Schizosaccharomyces pombe: one gene and its partner. The gene in region 1 interacts genetically with each later gene. Each region holds a gene or a part of one and is shown in the gene's direction. Other genes may lie near its edges.

Region 1 (7,940 bases):
TGCTTTTGCTGTCGCTAAAGAACCCATCACAATTTTATCAGCTACGATATTTTTTAAATATTTAATCAATATATGTATATAAGTCTTTGTTCATTATACATTTGTTTAGTTATAGAAGCAACCAGGTCAGCTAACACCGTCTTAGCTCGTAATGTAAAATAAACTCATAGTAAGCGAATGAATATTTCAGTAAGTTTTAAATGAAATAAAAATTAGAAAGTAAGTAATTTATAGAACTGTAAGCAAATGCAATCAGACCCGTTGAGATTGAATACAGTAAACTATTTTTTAAACCCAATTCAAAAAAAAAAAATAGCGTTGTTTTGCTACATGTGCTGCATTTTGTGCTTTTAAAAAAATTTAAAAATAATAATAATAATAATTTAGTGTGTAGCTAAGATGTCAGCTTTTTATAATTAGTATGTTAAATCAATTAATAACAGGTTACATTAGCTTTTAGTGAAGAATGGAAAACTTGAAGATTAGGTTGGCAGACTAATCTTCAGTTGGATGTAGCCCTATTAAAAAGCAGCAGAAAAATATTCTTTCCGATTTCGGAGGGTTGTATAATGAATTAGATTTGTAACGGTAAAAAGTTTTTGTGCAAATAAGTTCCGTATAATTAACCATGTTTTTCTAATCTCTAAATTAAAACCTAATTTGAAAATAGGGCAAACATGTAATTTTCTTGTATTTCTCGACTTTTGTTTTTTATTTTAATTAAATTATCAATTACAGAAAGTATTTATTTTTTAATATGACTCTAATATTTTCATACTGTCTATCCTTTCACTCTAATCTACATGATTGTTTTGTAAATTTGGCAGTAATTCGGCTCAAGGGTTATTAGGTTACCGGTTTATTAATCAGTTAATAGCACCTTATATGAAAAGAGACGAGATTAAAGTCATACAGTTCTACCAAATAAATAGGTTTTTTTTTTGAATATTTATTTTACGGAAGTAATATTAAAACTCGAAGTATGCGTATTTAAACATTAATTAACTAAATTTGTTTGGATAAACCGCTTTGACCATCTTGACTAACTGCACTTAAGCGAGTAATACGTTAGCCAACTTCCTATCGCGTAAATAATTTAACGCTGTCTACGACAGGCCAGTAAACACGCGATCCCCATACATGTTTTAGATGTACGGGGGATTTTTTTTTGAAGAAACTGTTAAATTTAATACACAAAAATATTTAAAAGTTTTATTTTGGATATGAGTGAAAAATTTAATGTATTTTTCTGCCGCCAATAAAATTGATTCTGTTTCCATCTATAATAGCCAACCACAACGCTCGCCTTTACCAGTCTTACCAACTGCCAATATTAAAAATCAAAACATATCGAGATGTTCAGCCGTCGAATTCAAGTTTTGAGCCCGTTTTTGAAGCATTTTGTTAACAGAAATGCCCGTATGATGGCTACAGAGGCCAACATATCTGCCACTTCTGCTAATCCTCAGTCACAGGGTGAAAATTTAAAAACTTTCGAGATTTATCGCTGGAACCCAGAGAAACCAGAAGTAAAGCCAAAGCTTCAAAAGTATACAGTCGACTTAACAAAATGCGGACCAATGGTTTTGGATGCGCTTATTAAAATCAAAAATGAGCAAGATCCTACCTTAACGTTCCGTCGCTCATGCAGAGAAGGTATTTGCGGGTCTTGTGCGATGAATATTAATGGCAGTAATACTTTGGCTTGCATCTGTAACATTAAAAAAGATAACAAACCTACTAAAATTTACCCCTTACCTCATTGCTTCATCGTAAAGGATCTCGTACCTGACCTAACCTACTTTTATAAGCAATATAAGAGTATTGAACCCTGGTTGCAAAACGATAACATCCCTAAAGACAAGGAGTTTTACCAATCTCGCGCTGACCGTGCCAAGCTTGACGGTTTGTATGAATGTATTTTGTGTGCCTGTTGTTCTACCTCTTGTCCATCTTACTGGTGGAACTCAGAAGAGTATCTTGGCCCAGCAGTTTTGATGCAGGCTTATCGTTGGATCATCGATTCTCGTGATCAAGCTACTGCTAAACGTTTGGATGTCATGCAGAACTCTATGTCTGTCTATCGTTGCCATACCATTATGAATTGCGCTCGTACTTGTCCCAAGGGTTTGAACCCTGGCCTTGCCATTGCCAAGGTAAAGGCTTTGATGGCTACTGCTTAAACAAGATTTACGCTTCTTTTTGTCTTTTCTTTCGCATCTGATGATTCCAATATTTCTTGTTAAAGAGGAACCCCCGTTGTTACTTAACCTATTTTATGTTTCTCTTCTACGATTTTTTTTACTTGCGTAGCTCTGTGTTTAGCTGTCATCTATGCTACATTACTTTCTCGATCTGACCATTACTTTTGCGTTGTTCCCGTTAATGAACCCTTTATTTTTATTTGCAATATCTAAATCTAGTTTACCATTAATAATTTCGGGAAATGGTAAACTTTTCTATTTTAAAGAAAATATGCTATTTCGTGGTAACTTGTGCACAATTGAATTGTTTGATTGTGATTTTTTACGCTGTTACATCAGATGAAATAATTAAGCATGTATTTGAAAATTATCTAAACCACTTTTTTCACTGTTTATTTGTGGCTAGTTACTGCATTTAACATAGCAGCTGCTTCTTTGGTTAAAGAGTTGAAAACTTTTTAGCATATTGAGAGCCCTTTAAGGTAATTGCTTTGTAAAACTTGAGATAAGTAAATGAGGCATCTTTTATTTAATTAAAGTATCACATAAAAACGGAAATCATGTACACAATAATGAAAGAAAAATAAATCTTAATATGACGATTAAACCATGGTATTCTCCATAGGCTGGTCGAAATTTTTTGTTACTATAACATGATTTTAAAATTTCAATGGATCAACAATGTACATTTTCACGGCCACTTTTTAGTTTATAATATTTGACGAACACAAATAACTTGGATAAGATGTTATCGTTCATAAGAATTTACATATTCACCACTCCAGATAATACTACGCAAGACTAAACCTAACTCCTTCGTTTCACTGATTCAACAATTTATTAAATTTCAATATGCTTTTTACCTTTAAGACATGTTATAAGCCTTCAGACACACTCATTTTTTAAATATTAATGGCGAATATTTTACTTTGCTGGTTTGTTGTTGAATAGCGCAGATAGCTATTACTTGATAGCGTAATTAGTTAAACTCGCTTTTATAAAAAATAGTAGTAGTTGAACAAGCTTCTATATTAGTAGTTTAACGAATACGTCTAGAAAATTTGCTATACTAGTATACGGCTTCAGGTACATATATCATCGGTAAAAATTTTTTTGGCTATATATAGCAGCTTGTCGCGCCGTACCAGCAGTCAAACTAAAAAACTCCCAAATTCTTTTAAACGGGCTTTTGGTATAGGTTGTGAATATAATGGCAAAAAAGGATAAAACCTCCGTTAAGAAATCAGTGAAGGAGACTGCATCAAAGAAGGGTGCCATTGAGAAACCTTCCAAGTCCAAGAAGATTACTAAGGAGGCTGCTAAAGAGATTGCAAAGCAAAGCTCTAAAACCGATGTCTCCCCTAAAAAATCTAAAAAGGAGGCTAAGCGTGCTTCTAGTCCCGAACCTTCAAAGAAATCAGTAAAAAAGCAAAAGAAATCTAAGAAGAAGGAAGAAAGCTCCTCAGAATCCGAGTCTGAATCTAGCTCATCAGAATCCGAGTCTTCCTCTTCAGAATCCGAATCTAGTTCTTCAGAGTCCGAATCATCTTCATCTGAATCCTCTTCGTCTGAGTCTGAAGAAGAAGTGATTGTGAAAACTGAAGAGAAGAAGGAGAGTTCCAGCGAATCATCTTCCTCCTCTGAGTCTGAAGAGGAAGAAGAGGCTGTTGTAAAAATTGAAGAAAAGAAGGAGAGCTCTAGTGACTCTTCTTCCGAGTCTTCCTCATCTGAATCTGAATCCGAATCTTCCTCATCTGAATCTGAGGAAGAAGAAGAGGTGGTCGAGAAGACTGAAGAGAAGAAAGAAGGCTCCAGCGAGTCTTCTTCTGACTCCGAATCCTCGTCAGATTCCTCCTCAGAATCTGGAGACAGCGACTCTTCCTCTGATTCTGAATCCGAATCCAGCTCTGAAGACGAGAAGAAACGTAAAGCCGAGCCTGCTTCTGAAGAAAGACCTGCTAAGATTACCAAGCCTTCTCAAGATTCTAACGAGACTTGCACTGTTTTCGTCGGTCGTCTTTCTTGGAACGTAGATGATCAGTGGTTAGGGCAGGAATTTGAAGAGTACGGTACAATTGTTGGTGCACGTGTTATTATGGATGGCCAAAGCGGTCGCTCAAAGGGTTACGGCTACGTTGATTTTGAGACCCCTGAGGCTGCTAAGGCTGCTGTTGCCGCTAATGGTACCAAGGAAATTGATGGTCGTATGGTCAACTTAGATCTCTCTAATCCTCGCCCAGCCAACCCTCAACCATATGCTCAACAACGTGCGGGTAATTTTGGAGACCAATTATCTGAACCTAGTGATACCGTATTTGTTGGAAATTTGTCTTTTAACGCAACTGAAGATGATCTCAGTACGGCTTTTGGCGGTTGCGGTGACATTCAATCCATTCGTTTGCCCACAGATCCTCAGTCAGGACGTCTTAAGGGTTTCGGTTATGTTACTTTCTCTGATATTGACTCTGCCAAGAAATGTGTGGAAATGAACGGTCATTTTATTGCTGGTCGCCCATGTCGTTTGGACTTTTCAACTCCTCGTACTGGTGGAGGTAGCCGTGGTGGTCGCGGTGGATTTGGCGGTCGTGGTGGATTCGGTGGCCGTGGTGGATTTGGTGGCGGACGTGGTCGCGGTAGAGGTGGTGCTCGCTCTGGAAACCCCAACCGTGGCTCGGTTGCTCCATTTTCTGGGAACAAAGTCACTTTTGACTAAGTATACTGGCTTTTAACTATATTGAGTTCATTTTTATGGGTTAAATGTAAATACCTTAGCAAATTAATATATGAGTTTGGGTTTTTGGGAAACTTTTTGGCATAAAGGGTTTTAATAAATGTTGGGCTGTGGATTTGATTTAATTGGGTTGAAGTATTCAAATACAAATGACTTGTTTGGGTTTGTTATGGAATGAATTTGGGTTTGGTTTGGTTTTATTGACTTTATAAAGATAATAAATATGGGCCCGTTGGTTTTACAATTTCAAAGCAGTGATGGTTGGCGTTGTTCTACGGTTTAGTTCATGTATTCACCTTTCCTTTATACGTTCCATAGAAGCTTTTGACATAGCTTTAGATAGGTTTTAATATAAAATAGAATCTTATTTAGTTTTGTTCTTGTTCATCTAATCAATCCATGTTACTCACAATCATCGTTGATCACTTTCTAATAGCTAGTAAATGAAGACCGTTTTGTGTTCCTTTTTGGGCTTTTCCATACGGCACTTTAAATTAATGATTTTTTGTTGAACTTTGATTGTGGTCTTACCCGTAATCATAAATGAAGAATGTAGTCGAGCCATTGTCATATTGTCTTATATCTTCAACTTGTAATGTCTCGTCTATTAAATTAGGTAAGCATCAATAGAAGGTATCATTGATTCTACATTACAAATACGCTTCTATTTCAACTTTTAAATTAATACAAGCATGTTTACTTACACTTTGGTTGCGATTATTTTAAGCAAATTAAAAAAAAATATTTTTGTATATCAAATTATAATATAGCTAAATTCAATTGTAACAGTAGTGATGAGTTCTGGCATATTCAAAAAACGGTTGTAGAATAATATATCCAGCGTTACTAAATCCGGCAAAGGAACTGTCTACTTAACTCTATGAACAAAGCTTCTAATACAACACTGTAAATTTGGTTCCTTAGATTCCCCTTACCACACTGATAAACTAGTAAATCAACTATACGACTAGTGTACTGACTTTCCAGTCCAGATGAAGTGATTGAGTGATGGCAGAAGGTGATTTTAAAAATGACAGTACAGGTTGTATTGGCGATAGCGTGGAATTTACTACTTTTAAAAAACGTACAGGAAAAAGTCTCGGTAATAGAAGAAAAAAGAGGGTATTTCTTAAGCTTTAGAAAACCCGTCTAATAAATATTAGGGATTGTCTGGATGGGAGCCTTATTTTCAAGAACCCGAACTGACAGCTGAAGAGAAATTGGAAAATGAGACATTATACAGCAGGTGAGAATACAAAATATTGTGTCTTACTAACACTTCTAGGAACATACCATTGACTGTGTTAGTAAACAGATGTTAAGGACTTTGCTGACAAATTAGGCGAATGGAGCGATTTATTCAAAGATATCGATCACGCAGAAAATGGAGCGACCCTACAAGAATAAGACTGTTTACAATGTATCTAGATTTAGGAGGCGTTTCTACGGGCCAAAAACAGTTTACAGGGGGTACTGATATTAATAACGATGCGAAGGCACGAGAAGTTTCCGCTCAAACCACGACTGATTATATTGAATACGATATACTTGATGAATATGATATTGATTTTAAGTGGGTTGCTGGAGTATTTCTGTGAGTCATTTATGTTTCCATTGAATTTAATTCACGTTGTATTTTAGCTAATCAATTTAAGGTCGTCACACATTTTGTATAACGCTGGACTAACTAAGGAAGAGGATTTGCAAATAGCTTGTCAAATTGTTAGAAATTTTCTGCTAAGTGTTTTGCATAACAATGTTGCACCAGAATTCGAAGATAATATTCGTGACGCATGTTTATTAGCAGAGCAAGCAGAAACTGAATTAATTTCTAATAAGAGGCTATCAACTAAACTTCCCGGTAGATTGCAGCGGGCATTGGCTAGTATACATGTTGACAATTATAAAGGCTTATGGGACAAATCGCAAAGTGATAGGACAAGTGATAGTTCAGTCAATTTCATTGAATCCAATAATACCAAATTCATGCCAAATGATGAACTATTTGAGCCTGATGGAATTAGTAGATTTTCTACACAGCAAGCGCGCGACTACATCCAGAGAACTCTTGGTCCACGATATTTGACTGGGAAAGTCGTTGAACAAGAGTACTTAACAGTCAAGTTAGTTTCTAAAACGCTATTGAATTTTTCAAACCAATCTTTATGCAAAGCAGTGTTTATCGTTTGGGATCCACCCGGATCTAAATATTCTCAAGATACAAATAAGGAAAGACTAGAAGTAATTTTGGAATCTGATTTACTGAACAACACTGTTGATGGCACTCACTTAGAGGGATCGTTCACTTTTTTGGATAATGGACTGACTATATTAGACACTGTGCTTGCTGTGCTACCCACCTTTTATGAAGAAGTTAAAGATGAATAGCATTGTATTTTAATATAGTTACTTTTGTAATATAGCTGGATATGAAATCCTTTAATTAGTTGCTTCTTCTTATTGTGATGAGGATAAAGTTCTAACATATATTAATGACCCGTTGGTGAGTTCGTACTTCCCCCAATTGCATAAACAATAAGTATAAGAAATTATAATTCCCAATCACATAATAGATATTACTTGTGTATGTAATTTAATGTTTTCAAATATTTTTATACAAATACGTCAAACTATGCGACAATATTTTGAAAGCTAGATCGTGCAGAAGTCGCTTCTGAGTCAGTATTGAGCAATAAGAATTATTCGGATGATTTTTTCAATAATCTTAAGTTACTGTCAGGCTCAATGCAATAAACACGATCAAAAGAACATTTAAAGCTATAATGTGTATTCACTTTTAATTGTAAACACAAACGATTAAAAAATTTACGTGTATAAGTATTTTTCCTCTATGAAGGCTAAAACGTTATGTGGAAAAGAATAGTCAATCATCAATAACGTTCATAACTTGTACTATTGAACAAGTCGTGCTGGGTAAAGATAGAAATCAAGTAACTGGATTGGAAGTTGTGATTAGCATAGCGAAACGCAGCGCCTATGGCGAA
Region 2 (5,238 bases), 1.5 Mb from region 1:
CAAGCCGACCAAGTTTGTCTATTTACTCCGACGGTTGATTCCCATCTGTGATTGCATCTTTTATCCTTCATATTGAGTCATCCTGAATGGTCCGCTCAAAGGGAACTTCGTCTATCTCGGTGCGCTTAATAAACGCTTGTTTTCGTGATGAACAAACCCTTTGCAGTGAACCCATGACCTTAATCGTTTCAACTTGACATACGGCCAATGAGCGTAGTGACATTAAATAAGAGTATCGAGTTTTTTCTTCTTTTTCCACTTTTCAAATTAAGCTAAATTCAATGTTTCGTTGAGTTTCTGTATGTAACAGCATATGAATGGCATGTGGTATTGGAAACAATGTGAAAGCGGATATCAATATTGCATTCGTTTAAATTACTGGTTTTTATGACCTCACATACAATCATTAAAACGGCTTTCGACTACATGCGACCAACAGGCTTTCACCATTGTTTTGTTTTTATTCATTTCCTTTTACCTACTGCTATTTTATTACTCGCTGGTATCATTATTTCATGACTACTGGCAATAAGCATATCAACAACCGCCCACCGAATATCACATTATTAAAAATGCTTGATATTTCTAGTTAACAAACTTGTACTTAAAGCGTCACAACCGAAGCAAACCAATAAATAGCGAAAAAGGCTATTCGCCATGGGAGCATTTATTAGAAACGGTGAATTGTCGAACGTGATAGCAGCGCATTGTTAAGTTTTACAAAGATGGTTTACATCGTCTAAAAGCAGCTTGCTAGAAAAAGCATACAACAATATCATAAAAAGCTTTTGTCGGTCAAACCTTGATGGGTTACTTCAAAAGAAAGTTGGAATTAAAGAAAAAGTAGAGGTAAAAACTTTGTTCAAGGAAAGGGGGGAGCGTAAAAAGTATTCCAAAGTACAGGAACGCTATACAATCATGGGATTTAAATCTTAGACAAATACATCAATGCATAACAACAGGATATCGGTTCTCATCAAGTATGATTTCCAAACAGTGTGGATTCAGATGTACTTTATTAGATAAGGTACCAAGATAAAAGACATATTGGGGCATATAATGATTAACAAATTCAATGACTTCTTCATCACTCATACCCTTGTGGATCCGAGCTTTCAAAGCATGCTCTTGCTGCAGTCTCCATCTGTAAACATAGTTTATCTCTTGTGCCTCTAGTTCCACCAAAGAGTCAATTTTTTGAAAGATAGGCTGATAATCTGCAAGCTTTCTGTTTACCCACAGTAAACTTCCTTCAATATTTTGCCAACGTGTTGATCGTGCTCGGACAGACAGCATGCAAGAATCGAGCGGCTCAAACCCAACCATCCATCCTTCAAAAATTACATAGGTAGTTGTTTTAGGATTTGCCTTTTTCCATTGGGATTCATCTCCCCTATCTCCGTAGCCACCAAACTTGGATTTATCGTAAAAAGGGATAGATACCTCCTCATCGCTTCCCTTAACAAATGCATTTAAAACATTATTTAAAAATGTGACATCATGGGTTCCAGCTAAACCACGATGTTGAACAAGAGGATTATTGGGATTATTTTTGGCCAATTCAACTTGTTCTGCGTGCGTGAGGTAAAAGTCGTCAAGTGAGAACTTCACAACTGATTCGTTCTTCCTTGTTAATTCGGTATCTAAAGCACTTGCCAGTGTGCTTTTACCAGATCCTTGAGGGCCGGAAATTCCAAGAATAAAAGGACGACCTTCAGGTTTTGGCTGCTTTTCCAGGAATTTTAAAATTTTGTCGACAATGATTTCCAACGAACTCATATTCCACTTCTATATAAAATTTTTAAATTAAATACAAAACCTAGCTTCCCCTTAAAAACGACTTAATAACATAAGTATAGGAAAGACGTAGGACTAATACTCGAAATGTGAAAGAAAGCGAGGTGCTGTAGCTATATGAAAATTCAATGTTAAGTACCACAGTGACTAGATACTTTCGTAACGACTACCAGTAAAGGACTACAAACACAAAAAGCTTTTTAAAAGGCTAAAGTCGTTATGCAATGGTTGGATTTTACCAACAAAGTTTTGTTACGGGATGTTGTATCACTAACATTCCGTTACGTCTCATTTGTGCCAATATACTGAATGCTTGCGTAAACTCTGTAATACTTGGAAACGGCTTCACTGCGCCTCACTATTTGGAAAGTTGTAACGCTGTAAATGTTTTGTTTTTACCTATAAGTAAATAGAAGATACATAATAAAATTTGGTGATGCTCTGGATTTTCAGGGATAATAGAATTTCTGTAGTTATATTTTCTACAATGACGGCTAACTTTTAAATTGTTTAATCTTGATGCCATGCAGTATAGCTCAAATGCTGAAGAATTTAGGTAATATGCATTTTATACTTTGTCTTTAAATTGTCATACTTGTCTCTTGCGACTTTTATAGCTAAATAATAATATTCCAGTGCTAACGTATGTGTTTTTTCTATAGTAATCCAAAAAAAACACGCAATTTATTGTGTCAGTAAATAAAGTAACTTGTAAAAATAAGTTTAGCTGAAATGTACAACAATCAGTCCCCCATCCAATGCGATAGCAGCCGCAGTTACAAATATTATTTATATTTAATTATTACATTTTGTTTACAGGTACATAATGTTTGTTAACACTTTTTGTACGTTTAATTAAACTAAAAGTATTTATTTTTTTAACATATACTCTAAAAAATTAATTTACTCAAGTTTGAGTTATCAAGAAAATTTAATCTACAATAATTATTTTTGAAGCACTTATTTGTTTTAATAGTATATAGTCTGGTGAAACAATTAGAATTCGTCTGTAAGTAGTAAAAATACAAAAATGTTTCTATGGTTTTCATATCATAAATACTTACACTTCACCCGTTTAACTTAAAAACTTAAGGTAATCCGTAGTACACCAAATTCTTTTCTTTTCTTTTTTTATTTTTTTTTATTTTTTAAAATGTATTTTATTTAAGAAATAATAAATAAAGTCCCTTATCCAATTCCACTAGATATAAATCGTTAGTTTAGAATTTACCAAAATACTTTTCAATAGCTGTCGTATATACATATTTATACACATTTATTACTTTCTTTTAAAAATAACTTATATCAATTATATCGTAACGTAACTGATGAGTGGAATCATTTAAAACAATTTAAGAGAGAAGTTGATATTGGCTGTTTATTTATCCGAATTTTTTTATGTTATAGTTCTACCATATTTGGCGGTTGTTTTCTTTATTTTGATTATTTTTTAAAAACAATTGAAAAAGTTTAGTTAATAATCAAGTAAATCTAATAACTATATATACAGTTTTCAAAGCACAATATCAACTGAGGCTTCGTGGTGTAGTGGTAGCATACTTCGTTTGGGTCGAAGTGGTCAGGGGTTCGATCCCCCTCGAAGCCCAAAGCCTTTAAATTTTTGTTTCAAATATAAAAAAAGTTGATTTGTGCTTGTAAAGTACAAACCGTATAAAAAAAGGAAACCCGTTTAATATTCTGTGTAATGGTTAAAGGGTTGCATAAATTACCGCTCTTTAATTACATATTAAGAATTTATCATACATTGTCCAAGCTCTTCTTGTGCTGAATTTTTATAAGTAACGCGACACTACTTCTTTCATCGTAAAAACTTTTCAAGTAATTAGGAAACTACATTTATGAACCATTTACTGTAAATACAATTATATTTTCATCTGGGAGATTAACAAATATTTTATCACTATTTGAATGCGTCCCATTCCAGTGAAGAATCGCATTGGAAAAAACAACATTGATAATGCAAAGGGACTGAAGGGGAATAAGCTTATTCGTCATTATCATAACCTGTTAAAAGAGAAATCTCGACTTATTGCGTCAAGTGCTCCGATTGAAAAAATAAAAAATGTGGAAAGTGAACTCGAAAATATAGGTATTGATGCTTACCAACGAGCTAGTCGATCCGGTCAAGCGGAAGGAAAAGGAGGGGATTCAAGTAAAATATTGATAAAATGGATTCGGACAACTCCCTGTTTTTCGTATTGCGCACGTCTTAAGGAGCCGAAAGATTTGTTGGAAATTGGCAGTGTTTCTGTTGACAACAAATGTTCAACTTGTGGACTTTTCCGAGTTTCAAGGATTGATTTGCATTCTGTTCATCCCTTGATTAAACAACAGGACTTTCTTGAAAGAACTCCTGAAGAAGGACTTTTTACTGGGATAAGTTGTTCACTTGTGCTGAATTTTGCACCTCCAGAACTCCGAGCTAAAATGTTATTACATTGTACAGGATTGTTAATGCCTCCTAATAAAGAACAGCCTCCTTGGTTATTTTTGGTTTTGCCTTCGCCTTGCATAACAAATTCTCGGTACATGGATGAAAAAACATTACACTCAATTATGATACAGTTTGGATTTATCTGTCGTCAAAAGTCTATATCGAAAAAAATAGCCTACTATTTATATTCTTACGAGTGTTTTCCTATGAAAGAAATAGACTGGAAAAAGAAGATCGTTAATGATGGGGCAACTAGGAATAATTTCTTCATTCCCTGTATACTCTAATTAAGATATTTGTCAATACAAAATTTATTTTACTAGTATCTCAAAGTTAAATTAATGAAATGAATGCTTTTTGTCGGTTATCCTCTTGCTTTTTTTTAATTGTATTGTTAATGTCAATTACTAGCCTTTACTTACGTAGCTACAAAGTACGTTTTTCAGAGTTTGTTCGTATGCGATACTTTACTAATGAGCCGAAAGCTCGATCATTGGTGTAAAAAATAGTAACAAGTCATTTTCGTTATATGTCTTTTTAAACTTATTTGCCAAGTTTACAAATCTTGTGCACCGCTCTGTGTTCTATGCATACAGAACACATCTGTATAACGTAATGGAGCGTACCCTTTTTAGGTGAAGTAGCTGGTAATCATCGAAGTCTCTCTTCTCAAAAGCAGTAAACTTTAGCTTGCAGTATATATTCGTGAACGATAGTAATTAAATATGTCCGACCTCAGGAAGTAAGTAATTTTTGTTAATATGAAAAAGCAAAGGTTAACGTTTGTCACCAATTAGAATTATCGGTCTTTCTTCGGTATGCATCGCTCAATGACTCCTACTCGAGCTAGACATCAATTCCATTTTAAACGAGTCTAACTTATATTATTAAGGTCCTGGCAGTAGGATTTATGCTGGTGATCCTGTCTTGTGCTTTATTCAAGAATTGGTATCCACTGCTAATTGGTATGATTTTGTCAACCGTTG

Evidence for each region. Genes that interact genetically often act in the same process or in processes that back each other up.
Region 2: mutations in gar2 (region 1) and bmt2 together harm fitness more than expected from each alone (negative genetic interaction), as found in Schizosaccharomyces pombe (one large-scale study listed by BioGRID).

The regions. Positions count from the first base shown.
Region 1 is NC_003424.3:1,894,109-1,902,048, forward strand, and holds gar2 (nucleolin), read left to right. Parts: upstream 1-3,353; 5' UTR 3,354-3,414; coding exon 3,415-4,917; 3' UTR 4,918-5,383; downstream 5,384-7,940. Other genes in the region: sdh2 (succinate dehydrogenase iron-sulfur subunit protein), read left to right, coding at 1,356-2,183; arb1 (argonaute inhibitor protein 1), read left to right, coding at 5,944-6,057, 6,099-6,181, 6,221-6,238, 6,278-6,529, 6,591-7,323. UniProt on the Schizosaccharomyces pombe protein: Helps the assembly of pre-ribosomal particles containing 18S rRNA.
Region 2 is NC_003424.3:361,824-367,061, forward strand, and holds bmt2 (rRNA (adenine) methyltransferase Bmt2), read left to right. Parts: upstream 1-3,621; 5' UTR 3,622-3,726; coding exon 3,727-4,539; 3' UTR 4,540-4,619; downstream 4,620-5,238. Other genes in the region: protein mug177, read left to right, coding at 1-51; mug58 (glycerate kinase), read right to left, coding at 946-1,779; protein Vps55, read left to right, coding at 4,978-4,994, 5,050-5,068, 5,145-5,217.